3 linked regions of the Elephas maximus indicus genome follow. The protein of the gene in region 3 purifies or fractionates together with the protein of the main gene of each other region. This does not show direct contact. Links are inferred from orthologs where the notes say so. Each region holds a gene or a part of one and is shown on either strand. Other genes may lie near its edges.

Evidence for each region.
Region 1: the proteins of MIA2 (region 3) and PREB purify together in Homo sapiens (affinity purification with western blotting; 3 studies listed by BioGRID and IntAct, with this or other methods). This does not show direct contact. The link is inferred for Elephas maximus indicus from reciprocal best matches to the Homo sapiens genes MIA2 and PREB.
Region 2: the proteins of MIA2 (region 3) and MIA3 purify together in Homo sapiens (affinity purification with western blotting; 6 studies listed by BioGRID and IntAct, counting the BioPlex papers as one, with this or other methods). This does not show direct contact. The link is inferred for Elephas maximus indicus from reciprocal best matches to the Homo sapiens genes MIA2 and MIA3.

What each region holds. Positions count from the first base shown.
Region 1 is NC_064830.1:45,498,033-45,506,060, forward strand, and holds the start of PREB (prolactin regulatory element-binding protein), read right to left. Parts: upstream 3,009-8,028; 5' UTR 2,786-3,008; coding exon 2,651-2,785; intron 2,100-2,650; coding exon 1,907-2,099; intron 1,740-1,906; coding exon 1,519-1,739; intron 1,333-1,518; coding exon 1,252-1,332; intron 1,153-1,251; coding exon 1,028-1,152; intron 829-1,027; coding exon 655-828; intron 509-654; coding exon 436-508; intron 245-435; coding exon 85-244; intron 1-84. Other genes in the region: PRR30 (proline-rich protein 30), read right to left, coding at 6,382-7,596.
Region 2 is NC_064842.1:12,274,105-12,282,208, reverse strand, and holds the start of MIA3 (transport and Golgi organization protein 1 homolog), read right to left. Parts: upstream 3,048-8,104; 5' UTR 3,013-3,047; coding exon 2,880-3,012; intron 1-2,879.
Region 3 is NC_064828.1:51,518,943-51,526,443, forward strand, and holds the start of MIA2 (melanoma inhibitory activity protein 2), read left to right. Parts: upstream 1-4,402; 5' UTR 4,403-4,440; coding exon 4,441-4,555; intron 4,556-7,501. UniProt on the Homo sapiens protein: Plays a role in the transport of cargos that are too large to fit into COPII-coated vesicles and require specific mechanisms to be incorporated into membrane-bound carriers and exported from the endoplasmic reticulum.

The sequences.
Region 1 (8,028 bases), on a different chromosome or scaffold from region 3:
ACTCCACTGAAGGAGCAGCCGGCTATAGTTCTCCAGGGGATGAGTTTCTGCTACAGCTAAAGGTGGGGTGGTACAATGACTCACGTCGTGAGGGCAGCAGGTGCAGCTGGCATCGGCTATCCACAGCCACAGAAAATAGGGCAGTTTCGTGAGACCCAAGGAGCTCTGGACCACGACCCTTCTCAGGTAGAAAGGCCACATCTGTCACCACAATGCCATGGGCTTCCCTCACATAGTAGAGGCGCTAGGGGCAGGAGGAGAAATAATGAGGAAGGCTCAGTTGGGTGGCTTTCTGCTGGAAAACATGCCCCAGCCCCCAGAAGGCTTTCCCGCTACAGGGTGGGCCAGACTCCTTTCTGCACACTCTAGATAGAGGGAGGCCAAGTGTCCCCACCCTAAAGAGCCCTCAGGGCTGTGCCCACCTTCACCCATTACCTGGAGAGAGAAAGCTATGTAGATGGCAACAGAGCCAGTGACCGTGCCCAGGCCTAAGAAGGTGCCCGATTCACTGCAACAAATAATAAAGTGCTCACTGTCCTGGAGGCCTCTGCAGAGAGCCTTGTTCCCAACAGTAGTCCTCAGGGGTTCAGGCAGGACTCCTTCCCAAGCTCCCCAGGCACCCCCACACCCAGCCAAGCCAGCACTGCCTCACACCTGATGCCGAGGCAAGAGATGACTTCGTGGCCACAGGACTTGGTCCGAAGGGGCAAGAAGGTGGAACCATCCCAGGCTGTGAGGTAGCAGGGTGGGGGCTGGCGCTGGCGCTTGTGGGGAATCTGCACTGTGAAGAGTCGCAGCCTCGCAGGCTGGTCTGGAACCTGCCCAAACCTGTGTCCAGGAGAGAGGCTGCTCAGCTCCTGGGGCCAGCCCAGCTGCCCGCAGAGCTTTACGCCCTCCTGCGCTCTGGCCAGGCCTCGGCTGACACCTAGCAAGGGCACAATCCTCCCCAGCTTTCCCTGAGTCTTCCCCACTCCCCCCCCCACATCTGGGCTGTGCCTCTTTTAGCCACCCTCCGGGGTCTTCACACCTGCAGGCCTGGTAGCGGTAAGGCATGTTAGAAAAGGTGGGTCCATTCTCTTGCCAGTGCAGCTGTGTCACCAGCTGATCCTTCTGCCACACGGAGGCCTTAAGGTCCCAGCCCACAGTTACCAACTAGTCAGGAATAAAGATGCCAAGGATGGGCAGTTAGGGGATCCACTTACTGAGCAAGCAGCATAACCACCTACTTTCTCCACCTCCCCACCTCCTCACCTTGCCATCAGGCCCCAAAGCCAGGTCCTCAATCTCCCCTTCGTGGGCTCTGAACTCCAGAACTTTCTTCAGGCTGGGTACCTGCAGCCAAACCCCCGCTATGGTTAGCCCAGGCACCCGGCAAGAACACTCTTTTCTCTTTTAATGGCCACTCAACGCAGGCTGCACTCACACGTTTCTCAAAACCCACGTGCAGTTTCTCACAATTTTGGCCTTGCTGCTACTGACTCACCTGCCCTAACCGTCCCCCCTGCCCCCAAACCACACCTGCCAGACACGAACGTAGCCATCCGTCCCTCCAGTGGCAAGCAAGGTGTTATCATGGTTGAAGCATACAACTTTCTGCAGTGGATCACTGCTGAAGTCTGTCTGCACCGCCTGCAAATTCTCAACACTGAGCTCTACCCCCTCACAGTGGGTTTCCGCTCCAGTTTTCTGCTCTGCTGGGGCCACCCCCTTCCTTTGTCGAGGTCCTTGGTCCTTAGAACCTGCAATACAAACAGCCTGCCAGGTCCCAGGCCTCTACAGCAGTACTAGCCTTTCTCCACATGGCAGGCTTCCACTCTTTGCCACCACAGCCCCACTTCTTTAGAGAGACCAAGAGGAGAGTGATCTTCCTCATCTCTTTCCAAAGAGCTAGAGAGGCACTCCTCACCTGCCTTCTCTGCCTTGTTGTTTCTCTTCTGCTGACGGGTCTGGAAGCGCAGGAGCTGACAGTGGGCATCCTGCCCTGCAGCAAGGATGTCACCAGCCAGTGCCAAGTTCATGGTGGCCCGTGTCTCTGTGTCATGGGAGTGTAGCAAAGAGGCACTCAGGCGCCCATTAATCCGCTCTAGCTGCAGAAAGTGCTGAGAGAGAGGAAGCCAGGATGAGCAAGGTTCAGGGGTACTCGGACTACACCTAAGGGCAAACTGACATCTTTCTAGTCTGATGCCTTACTCCTCTGCTTACTGCACTTCCTAGTTCACAAAGCTTTCTTAAGTCCTCATTTGGGCCTCAGAAACCTGTACAGCTGCCAGGACTGGGGATATTACCTCCGGAGTGAGACTCAAAGTGAAGGAACCTGGCCTACGACCAAATGCGCCGTTCTCGTCGCTGCTAGTAGGCAGATGGACTTGTCTATGTGGCCTCCCGGGAAAAGGACACGATAAGACCCCGGGGCTGCTCCTGAGGTCGTAGGTCGCGCCTACGCAGCGGTGCGCGCAGTTTTCACTTAACCTTAGGAGTCTCTCAACGGGCTGGACTGAAACTCGCGCGGGGGAGCCCGGCTTCCCGGGGATCCCCACGGAGGTGGGGCAGGGCCAGAAGCTGAGATACGGCGCGTTCCCGTGACCCGCGGCCACCCCGGAATCGCCCTTAGCCGTGGTGTAGCCCGGCCCCAGTGGCCCTGCGGTCTCACCACGCCATTCTTTATGCCTGTCTTCGCGGCGCCTCCTCCACCCGCCGCGATGAGCAGCCCGGCGCTGGAGTCCACCTGAAGCGCGTACAGCGGGAACGGGGCCCGGTACAGCTCTGGCGCCCGGCGCCGGCCCATCCCGCCCGGCGCTCTTCACTGCTCACACCGCAGCTCCTGGGACATGCCTCGCCCGGCGATGAGCTTGGGCCGGCTGCCGCCTGGAGGACCCCCGGCTCCTCTCACATCCGCAGGGCTGCCGATACTCTAACCACACGCAGGGCCCGTTTCCCTCCCGGCCGCCGAACCCCGGCTCCAGCCGCGCAGGGCGACAGCGCTCCGCTCCAGCCGCTGTCTCCGCGCAAGTGCAGACCCGACAATACGCGTCAGCACTACTCGGCCGGGTGACGCAACGCGGGCGCCGGTCCCGCCCCCTGCGACCCCGCGCTCCGCCATCTTTGTGCGGGGCATGGGAGGTGCTGCTTCCTTGAAGGGAACGCCCTTGGTGATTACGGAAAAGAAGAGGTGGGGTTAATAAAGATGACTAGTTGCCAGTGGAGTTGGTTCTGGCTTATGGCGATCCATAGAACTGTGCTCCATATGACTTTCATGGCTGTGACCTTTCGGAAGCAGATCGCCAGGCCTTTCTTCAGAGGTGCTTAAACATTTGGACTCCTAATAAAGGCTAGTAAACTTTCAAAAAAGAAATCCTTGGATTAAAGCTTTTTATACTTCAAGGATGAAATGACTCATACAAGCGCACTTTTTAACCTAGAGAGAAAGTGATTTGTCCGAGGTCACATACCAGAAACATGACCTGTGGCTCTCTCCTCTTAATGAAGGCAGCATGGACTTTGGTTTAAAACCAGACAAGCCAAAAAAACCAAAAACCAGACCCGCTGCCGATTCCAACTCATAGTGACCCTACAGTACAGAGTAGGACTGCCATATAGGGTTTCTAAGACCGTAATCTTTTGTAGTGACATCTATGCAAAGATTTTTGCATCATGCTTGGCAGAGTACAGGGTCAGCGGAAAAGAGGAAGACTCTCAACAAGGTGGGTTGACACAGAGGGTGGGTTGACACAGAGGCTGCAACAATGAGCTCAAGCATCACAAGGGTTGCAAGGATGGCTCAGGACCGGGCAGTGTTTCGTTCTATTGTGCATAGGGTCGCTATGAGTCAGAACCGACTCGACGGCACCTAACAACAACAACATGCAAAGATGTCACCTTGAGGACTAAGGTGTGCCTGACCCAAGCCATGGTGTTTTTTTTTTTTTTTTTCACATGCATGCAAAAGCTGGTGGATGAATAAGGAAGACCGAAGAAGAATTGATGCTTTTGAATCGTGGCCAAAAGAACGAACAAATGTGTCCTGGAAGAAGTACAACCAGAATGCTCCTTGAAAGCAAGGATGGTGAGACTGGGTCTTACATACTTTGGACATGTTGTCAGGAGGGATCAGTCCCTGGAGAAGGACATCATGCTTGGTAGAGAATCAGCAAAAAAGAGGAAGGCCATTAAGGAGATGATGGATTGACACAGTGGCTGCAACAATGGGCTCAAGCATAGCAAAGATTGTGAGTATGGCACAGGACCGTGCAGTGTTCCATTCTGTTGTACATAGGGTCGCTGTGATTCAGAACCAATTTGACGGCACCTAACAACAACAACAATCTTTTTTTTTAAATTGTGATTTAGGTGAAAGTTTACAGAGCAAATCAGTTTCTCATTATATAAGTTAATACAGAAATTGTTTTGTGACATTGGTTACCAATTCTGAGATGTGTCAGCACTCTCCCCTTCTCTACCCCAGGTCCTGTTCCCATTCATCCAGTTTTCCTGTCCCTTCCTGCCTTCTTTCCTGTCTTTGCTTTTGGGTTGGTGTGCCCATTAGTCTCATATACATGATTGAACTGTAAAGCACATTTCTCACGTGTGTTATTGTTGGCCCTATAACCCAAAAACCCAGTGCCGTCAAGTCGATTCCAGCTCATAGCAACTCTATAGGACAGAGTGGAACTGCCCCATAGAGTTTCCAGGGAACACCTGGTGGTTTCGAACTGCCGATCCTTTGGTTAGCAGCCGTAGCACTCAACCGCACTAGGGTTTCTGTTGGCCCTATAGATCTGTCTAATTTTTGCCTGAAGGGTGAACTTCAGGAGTGACTTCAGTACTGAGTTAAAAGGGTGACTGGGGGCCATACTCTCAGGGCAAGGCTATAATCTTTATGGAAACAGACTGCCACATCTTTATCCCGTGGAGCGGCTGGTGGGTTCCAACCACCGACCTTTTGGTTAGCAGCCAAGTGCTTTAACCGTTATGCCACCAGGGCTCCTCCAAAACCAGAGAAAATGACCTTCAAACCCCGAATCCACTGCTTCCTAGTATGAGGAAGACACTATCTATCTTAACACCTGTAATGGATTGAATTGTGTCCCCCCAAAATATGTGTATCAACTTGGCTAGGCCATGATTGATTGTGTGATTGTCCACCATTCTGTCATCTGATGTGATTTTCCTATGCATCCTGTCTCTATGATGTTAATGAGATGGGATTAGCAGCAGTTACGTTAATGAAGCAGGACTCAATCTCCAAGATTAGGTTGTGTTTTAAGACAATCTCTTGACATAAGAGAAGTGAGCAGAGACATGAGGACCTCATACCACCAAGAAAGCAGCACTGGGAGCAGAGTGCGTTCTTTGGACGCGGGGTCCCTGCACCTGAAAATCTCCTAGACCAGGGGAAGATTGAGGACAAGGACCTCTCTCCAGAGCTGACAGCGAGAGAAAGATTTCCCCTGGAGCTGGCGCCCTAAATTTGGACTTTAGCCTACTACACTGTGAGAGAATAAATTTCTCTTTGTTAAGGCCATCCACTTGTGATATGTTATAGTAGCACTGGATAAGACAACACCCATCCTCTGTGGGTGGCAGAGGCAGGAGTCTTCCATTCCCTTTTTCTGGGCTTCTTTCCCATTCTTGAGCACTCCCACTCCTGAGCAGGTTTGGGGGTGGAGGCTACCTACCTTCTGACACCCTGGCTTCTCTTAGGGCGAGAGGCTGGGGAGGTAGCGTGGCTCCGAGTAGGCCTTTTCTCTGCCTGACACCCCACCCACCCACTTGGGTTTCTAGTCTCCTGTCTGAGGACCAGTGTATTCCCCTGTGAGAAGACTCAAGGATTGCAAGAACACAGTCTCTGCTCTCAGGACTGGTCGCCTCAGCTGGCACCTAAGGTGCACCCAAAGGAATCGGCCCAGTGGCTGCAGCTCTGTGAATGCCAGTATCAGTCCCATGGAGATGAATTAACGTATGAAGGCCCTGGTAGAGCATAAGCTTATCTCAGGCACTCAGCCCTTGTGGGGCTCTTGCTCTCCTCAGGTCCATGATATGGGCTTTCTTTTTCCTTTGACTACCCCTAAGAGGACCTGTTTGGAGAGTAGAGCTCCTGTAGGTACAGCCATCCATTCTTAGTAGGACACAAACATAAGTTGTGCAGGGTCAGGCTTTATTGGATATGCTGAAGGTTGGAGGGGGCTTCCAGTGCCCTTGGTCCTCTTCAGCCAGGGGACAGCAGATTCCACAAGGGGCTCCCAGGGTTCAGAGCTGGAGAACACACCTGTCCTCCAGCCAGCCAGCCCTTCAGGGTGTCTCGGGGACTCCCAGAGATTTGGGGCCTGGTGGGGAGGGTGGTGTTTGAAGGAGGTGCTCCGGGGACCCTCCGTGGCTCTGGAACTAGGATGGCGACTTTAGGGGGATAGGCTCTGAAGAGACAGACCTCTTTGGGGCAGAGGAAGGCTTGGGCCTCGGAGAGGCAGTGGCCTGTCTTGGTGCCTGGAGGAGAGGCCCTGAGCTGGGGGCAGAGTTTCGTGATTGAGGGCCTGGCGACCTGAGGCTCCCGGTCTGGGAGGATGTGCCTGGGGCTGGATCTGCCTGGGCCTGAGCCACTGGGGTTTGAGATGCTGGTGCCCGAGATGCCTGGGCTTGACACCCAGGGGCCTGAGCAGTCTCGCTCTGAGGTCCTACTTCCTCCGGCCTTCTTTCTGGCAACAGATGCAAGGCCCTGGCCTGGCCCCGAGGTAGGCGGAGGCCGAAGCCGATGCCTATGCGAAGCGGCCCAGACTCCTGGCCCTGTGCACAGGGCAGCAGTTGGGGGAAGGCCAGCAGCCGGGGCCCAGTCCTGTACCTGGGGATGGGGCAGGAGGGACTGCGTGGACGGAGACACACCAAGCATATGGGATATTCCACTACTGGGGCCTGGCCGGCTCTGCCTAGCCACAGGCGCTGCAAAAGCAGTAGACGCAGGTCGTGTGCGATGCGGCGGTGCCCCAGATGGACGACCAGGGCCTGGGCCAGGGCTCCTGGGTCCCTGAACTCCGCAGGGTCCCTCTCGCTTGCCACGCATCCCCCCACCACTCCAGGGGACCTGGAGTCCCTGTACTGATGCAAGTGCCATGTCTGCCTGGAAGAGTGGACCCCAGAAGGTAGGCTGGGGCTGGGGGAAGTAAGCGTGGAGCTAGGTGGGCCTTTGGGATGGGATGGAGAGTAGCAAGGCAAGTTGGGGAGAGAGGAGTTCTGTGGCTGAGAGGGAGAGGAGGAAAGCAGGTTAGATGGGGAGGAGGACCCTGGAAGGGAGAGAGAGGGATAATTCTGGTGAAAGAAAGTGGGGGAAGTTGGGAGAGAGGAAGAGTTCAGATGTGGGACAGAGTCAGAATGTGAGTCAGAAGAGAAGTGTGAGTCCAGAGAGCAGAACTGTGGGGGAGGAGAGAAGGGTAGCTGGGATTGGGGGGAAGAGGGAAGACGTGGATGGGAGGGAGGAAGTGATTGATGGGGAGGGAGAGGCTGTCGGTTGGGGAGAGCAGAGTCCGCAAGTTGTGAGAGGCCCTGAGAAGGGTGCCCAGGGGACACTGCGTTCTGTAGCAGCACCTGGTCCTTGTTTTGAGGCAACATTGCCTTGAGTCCAGAAAGGACCTGGGTGACAAGACCAGGGATTAGAGACCCAGCAAAGGCAGGACTGGAATCTCAAAGCCAGAAGTGAGTGAGAAATCAGGCCCTTTCTCTATGTGCAGAGTGTGGCTCCAGCCTGGGGCAGGTGTTGGTGGAAGACCAAAGGGACACCTTGCCCTGCAGCACCAGGCTCTCTGGGTACTCAGGCGGGCGCTTGGGTCTAAGCGTGGCCTCTCACTTCTTTGCAGTCAGCCATCGAGGAGGGATGTGTGGGGACGGAGGATCAGAGCTGGCTCTTGGGAGCTGAGGGGCAGCAGCCGTTATCTAGGTAGGGTGGGAGGAAGGCACAGCCCATAGGACCTGCGGAGAAAGAGACAAAGAGCCCAAGATGTTGGGACAATTGGTCCCTCTCATCCGTATTTTCCGTTTCTTTTT
Region 2 (8,104 bases), on a different chromosome or scaffold from region 3:
AGGGATACCGTACCATCTTATGGATCCAATCACGTAACAAGGCGATAGTCGCTGAAGGTAAATAATGTTGACTGTATTCAACATTAAGACGATTTCAAAACAAACAAAGGAAGAAATACTCTTGTTTCTATTTTTCTATAAACACAATCAAAAGTGGACATCACCTGTGGTAGGGACCAAGCAAAACTGTGGGATTAGGTCAGTTACCTTCAGCTTCAAATGCAGGACTCAAACCACACTCAATTTGAAACTGGTAGAAGCAGTATTTGGGGGGGGGGGGCCAAATACACAGTTTGTAATGCACATGTAAAATGAAATGAACAGTAAGTGCGTTTATGTAGCGAAAAAAAAAAAAGGATGCAATGGAGATGTTTTTTCTAAAAGTCAATTAGCAATAAAATACATAAAAATGTATTCGAGGAACAACAATATAGATTCAGAGGCTGTTTCCTTTCTAAAGCTAAAATGTGACTCTTAATACATGTCAGCATCCTAACTCAGATCTAATAGGATGAGAGACCAGGCTGAAGGTGATGGGGGGTCCAGCAGAACTGGAAACGGCAGTGTTACTCTTGTCACCCTAAGAATAGATCGTGGAGGATTTATAACACTATGTCCAATGACCACATAATGCACGAGTGCTTCCGCTATGTGAAAAGCACACAAACACACCTTGCACCAACACCTCGCTGACTATTTCATACAACACCGCACAGACCCAGGCCCTGCTCTTGCTGGTGCCGGTTGTGTTGGGTCACATCTGTTTGTACACACATCATTTCTCAAGTTACTGTACAACTGTGGGCCCTTCCAACACCATTTCTTTATCCTGAGGCCTCAGCAATGATATGAATCTGCAGGTAACTTACATCGAGGGACCCAGGTAGGAGAGTGCTGGAAAGCAAAGGATAGCAAACATTTTGCCATACTCAACCCTGCTTGCGAATAGCCTGGTTTTGTGCTGAGAAAACTGAAGGAAGAAGTACTAGTGGAAGTTTTGCTGCCTTTAGGGTGCTTGTTTACACCAGCCCTAAGGTAACCTCCAAGGAGGGCTTAACACAAATTAGCAATCGCATCTTCTTGACTGGAAACCCTGGTGGTGTAGTGGTTAAGTGCTACAGATGCTAACGAAGAGGTCGGCAGTTCACATCCTCCAGGGCTCCTTGGAAACTCTATGGGGCAGTTTTATTCTGTCCTATAGGATCGCTATGAGTCTGAATCGACTTGACAGCAGTGGCTTTTTTTTTTTTTTTTTTTGTCTTCTTGAATGGTGCTGTAGTGATATAACTCTTCCACTCGTGAAATTTGTTTGCAAATAACACCAATTTGAATATAAGTAGCAAACTGTAGGCCTCTTGGCCTTTTCAGAATGAATATTTTTCTATATGTATTGCTTACAATTTATGAACTACCATTTCTGCAGCGATTGTCAGTAAGTCCCAGTCCACCAAACACGTAGGAAGGGATTCCAACAACACAAGTGTCTAAAGCCAAGGGTGATTTGGCTTATAAGATCCTTGGAGTATTTATTGCTATTAATTTAACAACCCTCTTCATCTGAGTCTGAAGATCTCTGCCCTCCACACTGCCCACAATCCAGGACTGGGGGACAGTTTCGCTTCCTGCGCACTGGAGAGGCGGCTGCCTATCTCAGGTGGCTGATGCTGATCCTCCGCCCCTTTCGAGATGGAGATGTTGGCCTTCCTGCTGCCCTGACAGTTTGCAGGGAGGCTTCCATGCGCAGAAATGACAGGATTGAGGCAGAGTCGGGGCGGAGACCTTGGAATACACTGCGTGCGTGGACTCCAGGCCGGTCCCAAACCTAAACTCCAATCGCTGTTCAAAAGGCAGTAGGAGCCCAAAATGCCAGTAAAGCTGAGGGCGCAGGGACAGCGCCAGTGCGCCTCTTCCGATCCTCACCGTCAATCTGCCACTAGAAAGGCGCCCACCAGCCCTTGGCGCATCTGCCCCCGCCACTGCACCGACCGAGGTCCCCGCGGCGGGGGCACGAAACCTCTCGGTTGCAGCGTGGGAAGCCCAGGGCCCGCAGGGCGCAGCCCCATCTCCTCTCCTACCCGTGCAGGGCAGGGTAGGGGGCGGCCGGGGGCCACGCCGATCCCCGCCTCGGTCAGCAAAGGAAAGAGAAAATGCCGGCAACAAGTGGGTGGTGCAGCCCCCCACAGTCAGGACCGCCTGCCCGGCGCCGGCAGAGGTGGAAGGGAGCAGCTCAGGGACCCGCGGCTCGCCCACTCCCGCGCTGGGTCCGCACGGCCCGCGCCCCCAGCCCCCAGTCCGCACGGCCCGCACCCCCGGTCCCCAGTCCGCAGGGCCCGCACCCCCGGCCCCCGGCCCCCAGCCCGCAGGGCCCGCGCCCCCGGCCCCCAGCCCGCACGGCCGCCGAGCCCCCGGTCCCCAGTCCGCAGGGCCCGTACCCCCGGCCCCCAGCCACCAGCCCCCAGTCCGCATGGCCCGCACCCCGGCCTCCAGTCCGCAGGGCCCGCGCCCCCGGCCCCCGGCCCCCAGCCCGCACGGCCGCCGAGCCCCCGGCCCCCAGTCCGCAGGGCCCGTACCCCCGGCCCCCAGCCCCCAGCCACCAGCCCCCAGTCCGCATGGCCCGCACCCCCGGCCCCCAGTCCGCAGGGCCCGTACCCCCGGCCCCCAGCCCCCAGCCCCCAGCCCCCAGTCCGCATGGCCCGCACCCCCGGCCCCCAGTCCGCAGGGCCCGCGCCCCCGGCCCCCAGCCCCCAGCCCCCAGCTCCCAGCCCCCAGTCCGCAGGGTCCGCGCCCCCAGCCCCCAGCCCGCACGGCCGCCGAGCCCCCCGGCCAGCGCCACCGCGGAGACCCCGGGGCCGCACCCGCCCGCCCGGGGGCGCACTCACTGCTGCATTCCTCATCCGCGCACAGCTTGTGCTCCGAGAAGCGCCGGCCCGGGCTCAGGTTTGGCTGAGCCGGCAGCCACCAGGGCGGCCCGAGCAGGAGCAGCCAAAAGAGCAGCCCCGGCGCCGCAGCCATGTTGTGGTCAACTCGGGAGCCGGTGACGCCGAGGAGGCCCGGGCGGGGCGGGGGGCGGGGGCGGGGCGGGGCGGGGGCGGGGTAGGGGGCGGGGCCGGGGCGGGGCCGGGCGGGGCGGGGCCGGGCGGGGCGGGGCCGGGCGGGGCGGGGCCGGGCGGGGCGGGGCCGGGGACCGATACGGGAGGCGAGGCCGGGCGGCCGGGGCGGCAACGGGAGGCGGGGCCGAGGGGCGGGGCGCGGGCGGCAGGGGGCGGGGAGGGACGGTCCGGGGGCGGGGCCGGGACGGGCGGGCTGTCGCCGTGGAAAGGGCTCCCGGCTGACACGTCAGCAGGGTCTCTCGGGGAGGGTGAGGGGGACCTGAAGGAGGAGCATCGGGAGCTCTGTCCGTCCCCCCGAGGCCGCCTCCTGGTGTCGCTGCCTTGGCAACCGGGACTCTCTAGCCTCTCCCTCGCCCAGTCGCCTGCCTTGGCCGGGTCCCTCCCCGCGCGACCCTCCGCGCGATTCCTTTCGCAGCGCACCCCCCTCTGCGCGCTTGCACACCCCGTCCCCGCGCCGTCCCAACTACAGGTCCTTTCTGGGACCCTCTCGCAGCTTTTGATTCGTGGTCCGTCCCAAACCAGCTTACCCCCACACCCCCTCTTGGTTTTGTACCTCCTTTTCCGAACTACCAAGTCCCACCCAAGGTTTGCCACTGTCAACCCCCGGCTTCCGGCTCCTCCCGGTTTCTTGGGACTCCCCTCCCCCCGCCCCAGATGCCCTAGTCTGATTGGGGGTGTAAATTAGAGCCAGGGGCTTCCTTGGTCTTTATTTGGGCCTTGGGGGTGGAGGTGGTCAGTACCCTACCTTCCCCTCCATCCTCCCTCCCCTAGCTGAGATCTTGAAATTCTTGGGTCTTTATTCTTAAGGAAAGTAGTAATTTAATTCAACACGAATTTGCTGAGCTTCCATCTTATGCCAGATACTGGACAAAGCACTAGGGTGATGGGAGGTGGGGAAAGGAAGAGGTGAAAAGATAAATAAGACATTCTGGCTCTCCTCTAAAAACCAAACACCAAACCTGTGGCCCTCAAGTAGATTCTGACTCATAGCGACCCTGTAGGACAGAGTAGAACTGCCCCATAGGGTTCCCAGGAACGCCTGGTGAATTCAAACTGCCAACGATTTGGTTAGCAGCCTTATCTCCTAACCACGGAACCACCAGGGTTTCCGCTCTCCTCTAAAGAAGCCCACAACTTAGTAGAAATCAACCAACATAAAAACGATGAAATAATCTATGTCAGAGTAGGGACAGGCGATTAGGCATGCAAATGGTTGAACTCTGAGCTACTAACGAGAAGAGTGGCCCTTCAAACCCCCCCTCCCCAGAGACTCCTCGGAAGTAAGGCTTCCCTATGGGGTGCAATTCTACTGTGCACATGGGGTCACCTTGAGGGGATCACTCCATGGCAGCAGCAAGAACATCCATTGCAGAGCAGTGGTAGTTCAGCGGCAGGGTTCCCACCTTCCATGCAGAAGACCCCATTTCAGTTGCCATCCAGGGCACCTCAAGCACAGCCACCGCTCCTCTGTCAGTGGGGGCTTGGGTGTTGCCATGATGCTGAACAAGTCTCAGCACAGCTTTCAGATTAAGGACTAGGAAGAAAGGCCTGGGAGCCTACGTCCAAAATTGAGTCAATGAAAGAAACACCTGTCTTTGCTGGGCTGTGAGGTCCGGGAGGTCCGGGCCAGATGGCAGTCAGATCCCATTGTGCATGTGGCTGGGCGTGGACTCAATGACATCTAACAACTTTTACTGAGTGCTTTCTTTATGCCCAGATCCTAGTCTAAGATCTTCATATGTATCAGATCAGTCCTCACACAATAAAACCAGTTGACATGGAGTCAACTCCAACTCATCGTGATCCCGTGTATTTCAGAGTAGAGCTGTGCTCCACAGGGTTTTCAATGGCTGATTTTTTAGAAGTAGATTGCTAGGACTTTCTTCTGGTCACCTCTAACCCAGTAAAAACTTCTAAAAAATCTCCAACCTTTCAGCTAGCAGCCAAGAGCACTAATCATTTGCACCACCCAGGGACTCCCCTCACACAATAGTGCCGCACAGTGGTGGGTTCTGTTGCTATCCCTATTTTAGAGATGAGTAACTTGAGGCATTACACACTTAGTGAGTGATGTAGCCAAGATTCAAGCGCAGGTAAATGCTCCCTGCCCCCTTTTAATCACAACAGGGGAAAAACCTATTTGTACTTTCTGACTAGGGAAGCAAAAGCTTGTCTAAATCATGTTTTTGTTGTTGTTGGTTGCTGTCAAGTCAATTCCAACTTGTGGCGGCCCCATGTGTGCAGAGTAGAACTACTCCATAGGATTTTCAAGGCTGTGACCTGTCAGAAGCAGATTGCCAGGACTTTTTTGGTGCCTCACGGTGGATTCAAACCACCAACCTTTTGGCTAGTGCTCAAGTGCTTAACCATTTGCATCGCCCAGGGATACCATTTAAGTCATAATATAACTGAGGTAGCTACATGTGCAATTAAAAAAAATAAAGAGGACACAACCGTCAAGTCAGCCGCAGAGCAAAGGGCTATGATGCTCTGGCCATGAATGGAACGGCTGGCATCTGTCTATGGACGGTGGCTTCTCACTACAGCCACGGTTATTCACCAGCCAAAACCATCACTTGGCTTCCCACACTAAATGAATTCATTAAAAAAAAAAAAGCAGAGCAAAAACAAAAGGAAAGAAGTATGGCTTGTCCTTGAAATCCATAATATTTAACAAAAGAAGAGATGGGGAAGAGATGCCCACAGATATTTGTCTGCAGAGGCCACGAAATATTCCATTGGTCCAGCAAAGTTCACATGCTGTCTGGTGAGAATGTACAATGGATAAGTTCATGAAGAGGGACTCTCCATTCAAGTAGTAATGCCATTAGGATTTCTTCATTTCTTTTCTACTATGTGTTTATTGGAACCCTGGTGGCACAGTGGTTAAGCATTTGGCTGCTAATCAAAAGTCAGCAGTTCAAATCCACCAGCCACTCCTTGGAAACCCTATGGGGCAGTTCTACTCTGTCTTGTAGGGTTGCTATAAAAGGGAATCAACTGGACAGCACAGGTTATGAGTATGTGTTTATTTGTTTTAGAATCTTAAGTGTGTCTAATAGGCACCTCCAACTTAGTATGTTGAAAATAAAATTCTTTATTCCCTCTCAAACCTCCTCTTTTCAGTCTTCTCTACCTTGGTAAATGGCAACTCCCATCTTTTGTGCTCAAGTCAAAAACTTAAAAGCCATCCTTGATTCCTATCTTTCTCTATCATCCAAGTCCAACCCATCAGCCAATCCTGTGCACTCTTTGATTTAGTAGCTTTATTGAGCTATAATTGACATATAATTAACTGTACAGATTTAAACATACAATTAGATAAGTTTTGACATACACCCATGTGTATATCTGTGAGACCATCACCACAATCAAGATACTGAATATATCCATCACTCCCAAAACAGGCCTTATGCTTCTTTGTAATCTCTCTCTACCCTCTCCTGTCTCCAAGCAATCTCCCATCACTATAGATAATGTTTTGCAATTTCTAGGATTTTATATAAATGGAGTCATACACCTGTTAGGTGCTGTTGAGGCAGTTCTGACGCACAGCAACCCTATGTCCAACAGAAGTAAACACTACCCGGTCCTGCGCCATCCTCAAAGTCTTTGCTATGTTTGAGCCCATTGCTGCAGCCACCGTGTCAATCCATCTCATTGAAGGTCTTCGTCTTTTTCGCTGACCCTCTACTTTATCAAGCATGATGTCCTCCTACAGGGACTGGTCCCTCCTGATAACAGGTCAAAAATATGTGAGACGAAGTCTCGCCATTCTTGCTTCTAAGTTACATTCTGTCTATACTTCTTCTAAGACATACTTGTTTGTTCTTCTGGTAGCCCGTGGTATGTTCAATATTCTTCACCAGCACCGTAATTTAAAGGTATCAATTCTTCTTCAGTCTTATTCATTGCCCAGCTGTCATATGCATATGAGGTGACCGGAAACACCATGGCTTGGGTCAGGCACAGCTTAGTCCTTAAAGTGAAATCTTTGCTTTTTAGCACCTTGTTGTTGTTGTTGTTAGGTGCCATCCGGTGGGTTCTGACTCATAGTGACCCTATGCACAACAGAACAAAATACTGCCTGGTCCTGCACCATCCTCACAATCATTGTTATGCTTCAGCTCATTGTTGCAGCGACTGTGTCAGTCCACCTTGTTGAGGGTCTTCCCCTTTTCTGCTGACCCTGTACTTTGCCAATGATGATGTCCCTCTCCAGGGACTGATTCCTCCTGACAACATGTCCAAAGTATGTAAGACGCATTCTCCCCATCGTTGCTTGTAAGGAGCATTCTGGTTGTACTTCTTCCAAGACAGATTTGTTCTTTCTTCTGGCAGTCCATGACATATTCAGTATTCTTCGCCAACACCACAATTCAAAGGCATCAATCCTTCTTCAGTCTTTCTTATTCATTGTCCAGCTTTCACATGCGTATAATGTGATTGAAAATACCATGGCTTGGGTCAGGAGCGCCTTAGTCCTCAAGATGACATCTTTGCTTTTCAAAACTTTAATGAGGTCCTTTGCAGCAGATTTGCCCAGTGCAATGCATCGTTTGATTTCTTAACCGTTGCTTCCATGGCTGTTGATTGTGGATCCAAGTAAAATGAAATCCTTGACAACTTCAGTCTTTTCTCTGCTTATCATGATGTAGCTTATTGGCCCAGTTGTGAAGATTTTTGTTTTCTTTATGTTAAGGTGTAATCCATAATGAAGGCTGTGGTCTTTGATCTTCACTAAGTACTTCAAGTGCCCTTCACTTTCATCAAGCAAGGTTGTGTCATCTGCATAACGCAGGTTGTTAATGAGTCTTCCTCCAATCCTGATGCCTCTTTCTTCTTTATATAGTCCAGCTTCTCAGATTATTTGCCCAGCATACAGATTGAATAAGTATGGTGAAAGGCTATAACCCTGACGCACACCTTTCCTGACTCTAAACCAAGCAGCATCCCCTTGTTGTGTTCAAACAACTCCCTCTTAGAGTAAGTAC
Region 3 (7,501 bases):
TGTGTGAAATATTAAGCCCACTGGTAAGAAGCTGGTGGTCAACAAATAATTTCCTTTCTTATTGGTTGACTAGACTAATCAATTCAGTTGCCTTATCATCAGATATCACACACGTATCATTTTGGGTGTAGAGGATGTTGCATACTGTTATTCTAAAACACGTAATAAAGGAATAATGACAACATGCAGAACGTTCTCTTTCTGCCCCTCTCAATTCTCTCTCCATTCCTTACCACCTGCTGTTTGTCCCTGGAAGCTGACCTTTATGACTGCTTCAAAAGATTCCCTTATCCTGTGGCATCTGGCTGTACGTGCTCCATGGAAGTCACCACCAGGAAGTCAGAAGGTGGGAGAAGAGTGATGTTCTCTTGGCCAAGTTCTTTACTGAAGGCTTAAGGTTCCTCTGTTGTAAATCAGGCTTTCATTAAAATCTCCCTAATCATTGAGGAGTGTTACCCCCCACCCCCATGCCCTCCCGCCTGCCAAAACTGAATGACTATCTGCTTCCTGGTGGGACTCTAATACAGACGGAATGAGAAAAAGTGGGCAGAACAACACAGCCCTCAGCAACACAAAAACAATAAAGAGCATGGAGTGACTAGAACAGATCATAGGCTAAAATGTGCATGTTCTGTCATCTTTTGTGCCTGTGAATCACCAGCTTCTGAGGTTGGGTCCTTTAGAAGCAGATACTGAGACAAGAGTTTGGCTTTTTAAGATGATTATTAGGGATCAACATCTATGAAAGGAAAGAGAAAGCTGGATTGGGCAGAAGGAGAAGTCAGCCTTCAGTGCAGGCCCAATGAAGCCTCCTCTGCCAACCCAGCAGGAAGCTCTGGGGTGAGAAATGCCCAGCAGGGTGTCCCACATAAGGCTGAAATGGCCCTGCCTTTGAACTTTCTCCTTACTAGATGCAGGCTGTCCTAGGAAGGTGGCTCTTGGCAGCTGACGCAGATCCTGAAATAGCTCTCTGCTGGAGGCTGTCTGCTAACTGCATGCCCTGCAGCTGGGCAGACAGTCGTAATTTACAGAGGGAATGTGGGGGCCATCTCCGTATCTTCCACACCAGTTTGAATCTCTATCTCTCCTGGGCCTCATCTTCTCTTGTTGTGCACCTGTCTACCATGGCAACCGTTCCCAAAGGCTCCGTTGTTCTTGTTCCCCATCCCTAGTAAAAACATCCCAGCTTTATCAGTTCTGCTTATGCCAAAACCCATTGCCATCGGGTCAATTCCAACCCATAGCGACTGTATAGGACAGTAGAACTGCCCCATAGGGTTTCCAAGGAGCACCTGGTGGATTTGAACTGCCAACTTTTTTGTTAACAGCCATAGCTCTTAACCACTACACCACCAGGATTTCCGCTTATCCCAAGTAACTTCTAATTAAATTTCTCTATCCTGTAAATTGTCAGAGTTGCAGGTAGCTGGTTGAAGAAAATACGTTCCCACTTTAGGAAATCTGAAGTGCTAAGAAGACGGTACCATATAGTGCCCAAGACAACATCACCAAGCAGTAGAAGTGCAATATTCATGGTTACGTCTTTGTTTTCATGCAAAAAAAAGCTCTGTGCCATTATCTCTAAGATACTGAACATTGGCTTTGATGATTCATTGTTTAGTTTTGTGCAGTAAGTACTCTTACCTCCTGTATGGTTTGTGAAGACTGCCATAGGTCTTCCAGATCAGTATTCCTGTCTAAGTTGTTTTACCGTGGCACCTTCCTCAGCAGTAGCATTGTATTTGAATATTGACACAACACTTAATCTACAAATGGATCCATAATTAGATAACATCTGGCTAATTAATGCCACTGTTTTTTATAGTGAAAATTGATACTTTGGCTTCTTTAATGCTCTTGTTCTCTTCACCCACCAACCTCTCCACCTGGGTCTGATGGACAGTTAATTAACATTCCACAATCCAAACCAAACCCACCACCATCCACTCATGGCAACCCTACAGAACAGAATAGAACTACCCCCATAGGGTTTCCAAGGCTGTAAATCTTTATGGAAGCAGATTGCCACATCTTTCTCCTGCAGAGTGGTTGTGGGTTTGAACCGGGAACCTTGCAGTTAGCAGCTGAGTGCTAAACCTCTGCACCACCAGGTCTCCCTTAATTAACATTTTGCTACCACATTTTCAGATAGCTTGTTAGGTTATATTTAGATAATGATCTGAACATAAAGTGAGATCATCTGAGTGCATTACCAGGAAAAGTGGGAGCATTTCTAGTGTTAACAAATCTCTCCCGACTAGTACCCTGGCAAGGATTTTTCTCTTGTTTTTGGCTCAGATCTTGTTTGGTTCAAATTTTCAAGTCACTCAATAGACAATTTTAAATTTCGCTGGTCTCTTGTCTTTCTTAATTTAGAACATGATTAAATGAATTAGTTCAGAATTTAGCCACAATGTCTTTAATAAAGGATACAAAACAAGGATAGTTAAAAAAAAAAAAAAAAGGATAGTTACGTTCCATTAATTACTAAATATTTTTTATTTGTATTGAATTTGGTAATGCAAGTTACACAAATAATCCTGTACCATATTTTGAAGCTAAAGAGGTGATCCTTCTTTAAATTCTTTGACAGCATAATTTACACATTTGCAATGGTATTCGGGAAACTAATCTACACTTTTGTGTATATGTATGTGTACAACTATGCTGTGCTCTGACTTCAAGCCAAATGACTATAGACCCAGGCCCTCATCTGCATGGTCTATTGGATACTTTCTAAGGGTGCAAGAATCTTAGACCTGACAGTCAGGATCTTCTTGGAAACAACAAACAAAAATGTTTTTAGAGGCTTAAAAGCCAACATTTGCTCAGGTACTGAGTATGTGTTTGTTTCAGGCACTAGAGGGGAGTGTGGTGCCACACAAGTGCTGTGTTCTAACTGGAGGCCAAGAGCCTGCAGACAGATTTTGTGCATGTTAGATGGCAGTGAGTTTTGTTTTGTTTTGTTTTTTAGCAAGCTCAAACACACTGAAAACGTAGAGCAAAGAAAGGCTTAGAAGAATACCTTCCTGAGTTTGAAATCAGGTAACTGGGTTCTGCCAATCTACTAATACCTTGTTTTACACATAAGCTTCCAATACAGGGCTTTGATTCTTTTGAAGTGGCAGTAACATTCAGATGACTTGATTTTAATAGCTTTATTGTTATTTTAAAATATACATGCTTACTGATTTAAAAAAAAGTCAAACAATATGGAAAAACAGGAAGAAGAAAGTGAATACCATCTGAAGTCACACTACACACTCCTACAGTGTTAGGGAGCATTCTTTTGGACATCTCTCTCTGTCATATATATATATACTTTTTAAAACCTGAATTAATACTGTAGCTGCTGTTTCTGGAACAGTATTGTTGGAGACAGAGTGGACATCTTTCATGGCAGATGACTTGATCCTTGGTGGCAAAGCACAGTGATTAAGGGTATAGGGAGTCACCATGCCTAGGTTTGAATTTTTCTTCCCTTACTCAGTAAGTGACATTGGGCATGTGATTTAACCAATTTCCATGTGCCTCAGTTTCCTCATATGAAAAAATGGGGATGATAATATTGCCTAGCTCAAAGAGTTGGTGTGAGGGTTAAATGAGATCATACACTTAAATATTTAAAATAGCACCTGAAACATACCCATTGCCGTTGAGTTGATTCCGACTCACAGCAACCCTATAGGAGGGTAGAACTGCCCCACAGGGTTTCCAAGGAGGACCTGGTGGATTCAAATTCCCGATCTCTTGGTTAGCAGCCATAGCACTTAACCACTACACTACCAGGGTTTCCGCCTGAAACAAAGTACTTAATACATTTTACCTTTTATTCTTAAGGAAATACAAATTTCACCTTCACAGTAACACTGAAGGGTTTTTTAATATGAAAATTCGGGTGCTTTCTTAAATAACTTTCATCATGGTATTTCAAAAACTGTGCTTTTAACAAGTTATCACTGTTTCTACATATAACTATATACTTTCTCCACTGATGATGGTATTTGCATGCAGCAAATACTCAGTTTATACTTGTTGACTGATCTTCCTTAGACTTCGTTAGGCAGAGATTACCTTTTCGTGGAGGACTGTTTAAGAACTATCCTGTTGTATGCAGTGTGCCTTTAAGTGAGACAGTTTTACTGGGCCACCTTTATAAAGACATTAGTCCAACTAAAAATCCCTGTTAATTATTAAACTGTTATGTGTTATCTGGATACCTGACACTGCAGATTGAGAACAGTGTTTGTCTCTCAAGTTAAGACTAAAAAGAGAGAAAAAAATGTAGTTACCCAAGAATTAAAAAAAAAAAAAAAAACTCAATTTTTTTTCTCTTATATTTAGTGAAGAAAGTAGGGTATCTTCTGTTTTGCCTGGCATATCTACCACCTGAACAATCAGTTTAAAGCTCATTTTGAATTCCTGGTTGTTCATTTTAGCATGGCGAATCTCGGAGTTCACAGAATCCTTCTTTTGGTTATTTCTTTGACAAAGAGTCTGGAGAGTACAAAACTGTTGACAGACCTTAAAAACTGTGGCGACTTGGAATGTGAAAGTAAGTTTGCTTTTTTTCTTTTCCTCTTAAATTGAGGCTCTGAAATGACATCTAGTGTAATTGTGGATGTGTGTGATAAGAATGAGCATTAATATTGAAGAATATTTGCAATTATAAACTACAGCTTGGTATAAAAAGAAAATGCTGGAAGCAAGGCATTTTGTGATAGTATTAAATGTAAATATACAAATGGATAAAGAGTAGTCTGACATATAAATATATCAGCAAATTTATTGGTTTTAGTCTATGTATCAAAAACAAATTAGCCGTTTTACTGTTTTTTTTTTAAGATAAATATAATCAATTGGTATGAATAGGCTATTCATACCAATATAAATATAAAGTCCTTATATTTTTTAGTTTCTATTTCAGAATCAGAATTTTCCTGTTTTCAAAAAATGTTTTTATTTCAAACCATCATGATTTATTCATTCTAAAATTTATCATACAGCAATTGTTTCTGTATTTATTTATTTTGTAAAAATATTGAAATCAGTTGTTATTGTTCGTGCTGTCAAGTCTATTTCAACTCTTAGCAGCTGTATTGGACAGAGTAGAATTGCCGCGTAGGGTTTCCTAGGATGAAATCTTTTTTTTTTTTTTTTTGTACTTTAGATGAAGGTTTACAGAACTAGTTTCTCATAACAGTACACATATTGTTTTATGACATTGGTTAACAACCCCACAACAAGTCAACACTCTCCCTTCTCAACCTTGGGTTCCCTATTACCAGCTTTCCTGTCCCCTCCTGCCTTCTAATCCTTGCCCCTGGGCTAGAATGCCCCTTTAGTCTCGTTTCATTTTATGGGCCTGTCCACTCTTTGGCTGAAGGGTGAACCTCAGGAGTAACTTCGTTACTGAGCTGAAAGGGTGTCGGGGGGCCATACTCTCAGGGTTTCCTCAGGCTCTGTCAGGCTAGAAAGTCTGGCCTTTCTTTTTGAGTTAGAATTTTGTTCTACATTATTCTCCAGCTCTGTCCGGGACTCTCTATCATGATCCCTGTCAGAGCAGTCAGTGGTGGTAGCCGGGCACCATCTAGTTGTACTGGGCTGAGTCTGGTAAAGACTGTGGTATATGTGGTCCATTAGTCCTTTGGACTAATCTTTCCCTCGTATCTTTAGTTTTCATCATTATTCCTTGCTCCCAAAGGGGTGAGATCAGTGGAGTATCCTAGATGGCCACTTGCTAGGGTGAAATCTTTATGGAAGCAGATCTCTAGATCTTTTCTCCCACAGAGCTGGTGGTAGGTTTCAACTGCCAACCTTTCTGTTAGCAGCTGAGCACTTAGCTATTGTGCCACCAGGGACCTTGGAAATTGGTGTTAGGAATATATATTTTTATTTTATTTATTTACTTTTATTGTACTTTAGATAAAGGTTTACAGAGCAAATTAGTTTCTCATTAAACATTAATACACATATTGTTTTGTGACATTGGTTGTCAGCCCCATGACGTGTCGACAACTCCCCTTCTTGACCTTGGGTTCCCCATTACCAGATTTCCTGGACCCTCCTGCCTTCTCCTCCTTATGCCTGGGTTGATATGCCCATTTAGTCTCAATTTGTTTTATGGGCCTGTCTAATCTTTGGCTGAAGGGTGAACCTCAGGAGTGACTTCAGTACTGAGTTAAGAGAGTGTCTGGGAGCCATACTCTAGGGGTTTCTCCAGTCTGTTAGAACAGTAAGTCAAGTCTTTTTTTGTGAGCTAGAATTTTGTTCTGCATTTTTCTCTTCATCTCCCAGCTCTGTCTGGGACCCGCTGTTGTGATCCCTGTCAGAGCAGTTGGTGGTGGTAGCCGGGCACCATCTAGTTGTGCTGGACTCAGTCTGATGGAGGCTGTGGTAGTTGTGGTCCATTAGTCCTTTGAACTAATCTTTCCCTCGTGTCTTTGGTTGTCTTCATTCTTCCTTGATCCAGATAGGGTGGCACCAGTGGAGTATCTTAGATGGCTGCTCATAAGCTTTTAAGACCCCAGACACTACTCACCAAAGTAGGATGTAGAACATTTTCTTTATAAACTATGTTATGCCAGTTGAGTTAGATGTACCCTGAGACCAGGGCCCCCAGCCCTCAGTCCAGTAATTCGGTCTCTCAGGGAAGAATATGTATTTTTAGTAGCTTTATGACATAAAATAAATTACATCCTAGTATATTAGAGTTGCTTTAAATAAGTTATATCTCTCCAATATAAAAGAATTATTTCTAATGTGCAACATGTAATTTTAAAAATGTGACATATTATTAGTATAAATATAAATACCTTATAAGGAAAAATTTTAAGAGTAAGATTGTCCTTAACCCTTTTGATATGATTTAACATAAAAAGTTTACTAGGCAATGTTTTATAATAATTATCTTTCTTTTCTTCTTTATAGTACAACCTCATTTTAGTATCCTTAGAGCTAGACACAGAACTTGAAAAAGGAACATTCAGATTTATAATCATTTATAATGTTTTTATTTTAATTGTGTGACTTTATAAAAAATGTTTTACATATAATTATAATGGTTAATAAGATATGTGTATTACTTTGCATGTTGAAGGGCTAACTAAATCTAGTATATTTGGTAACGATTCTTTCATAGTTAGTGAGGTTCTAATATGTGCTGGAATTGAGGTTGGGTGGTATGCATCTAAAATGAATCAAATGCAAAGTGAAGTAAACCTTTTGCCCTCCAGGAGTTTTCATTCTAATGGATGGTGACAAGACAGGTCAATATGAAACAGTTAAATAGTGATACAATGTAGTAAGAATAGTAGGTAATATTGAAGTTCAGAGAAGGGGCAATCAGAATAGGCTAGAATGATTAGGGATGTGTCATAGAGGAAATAGATTTGAGTGGTCCGTGAAGAGTGATGGAAGGGTTTCTGGGCTTAGGAAAGAGCAGAAATAAGCACCCAGAATAAGGAAAGTGAATGTTGCAGTGGACAGAATCTCAGTGCAA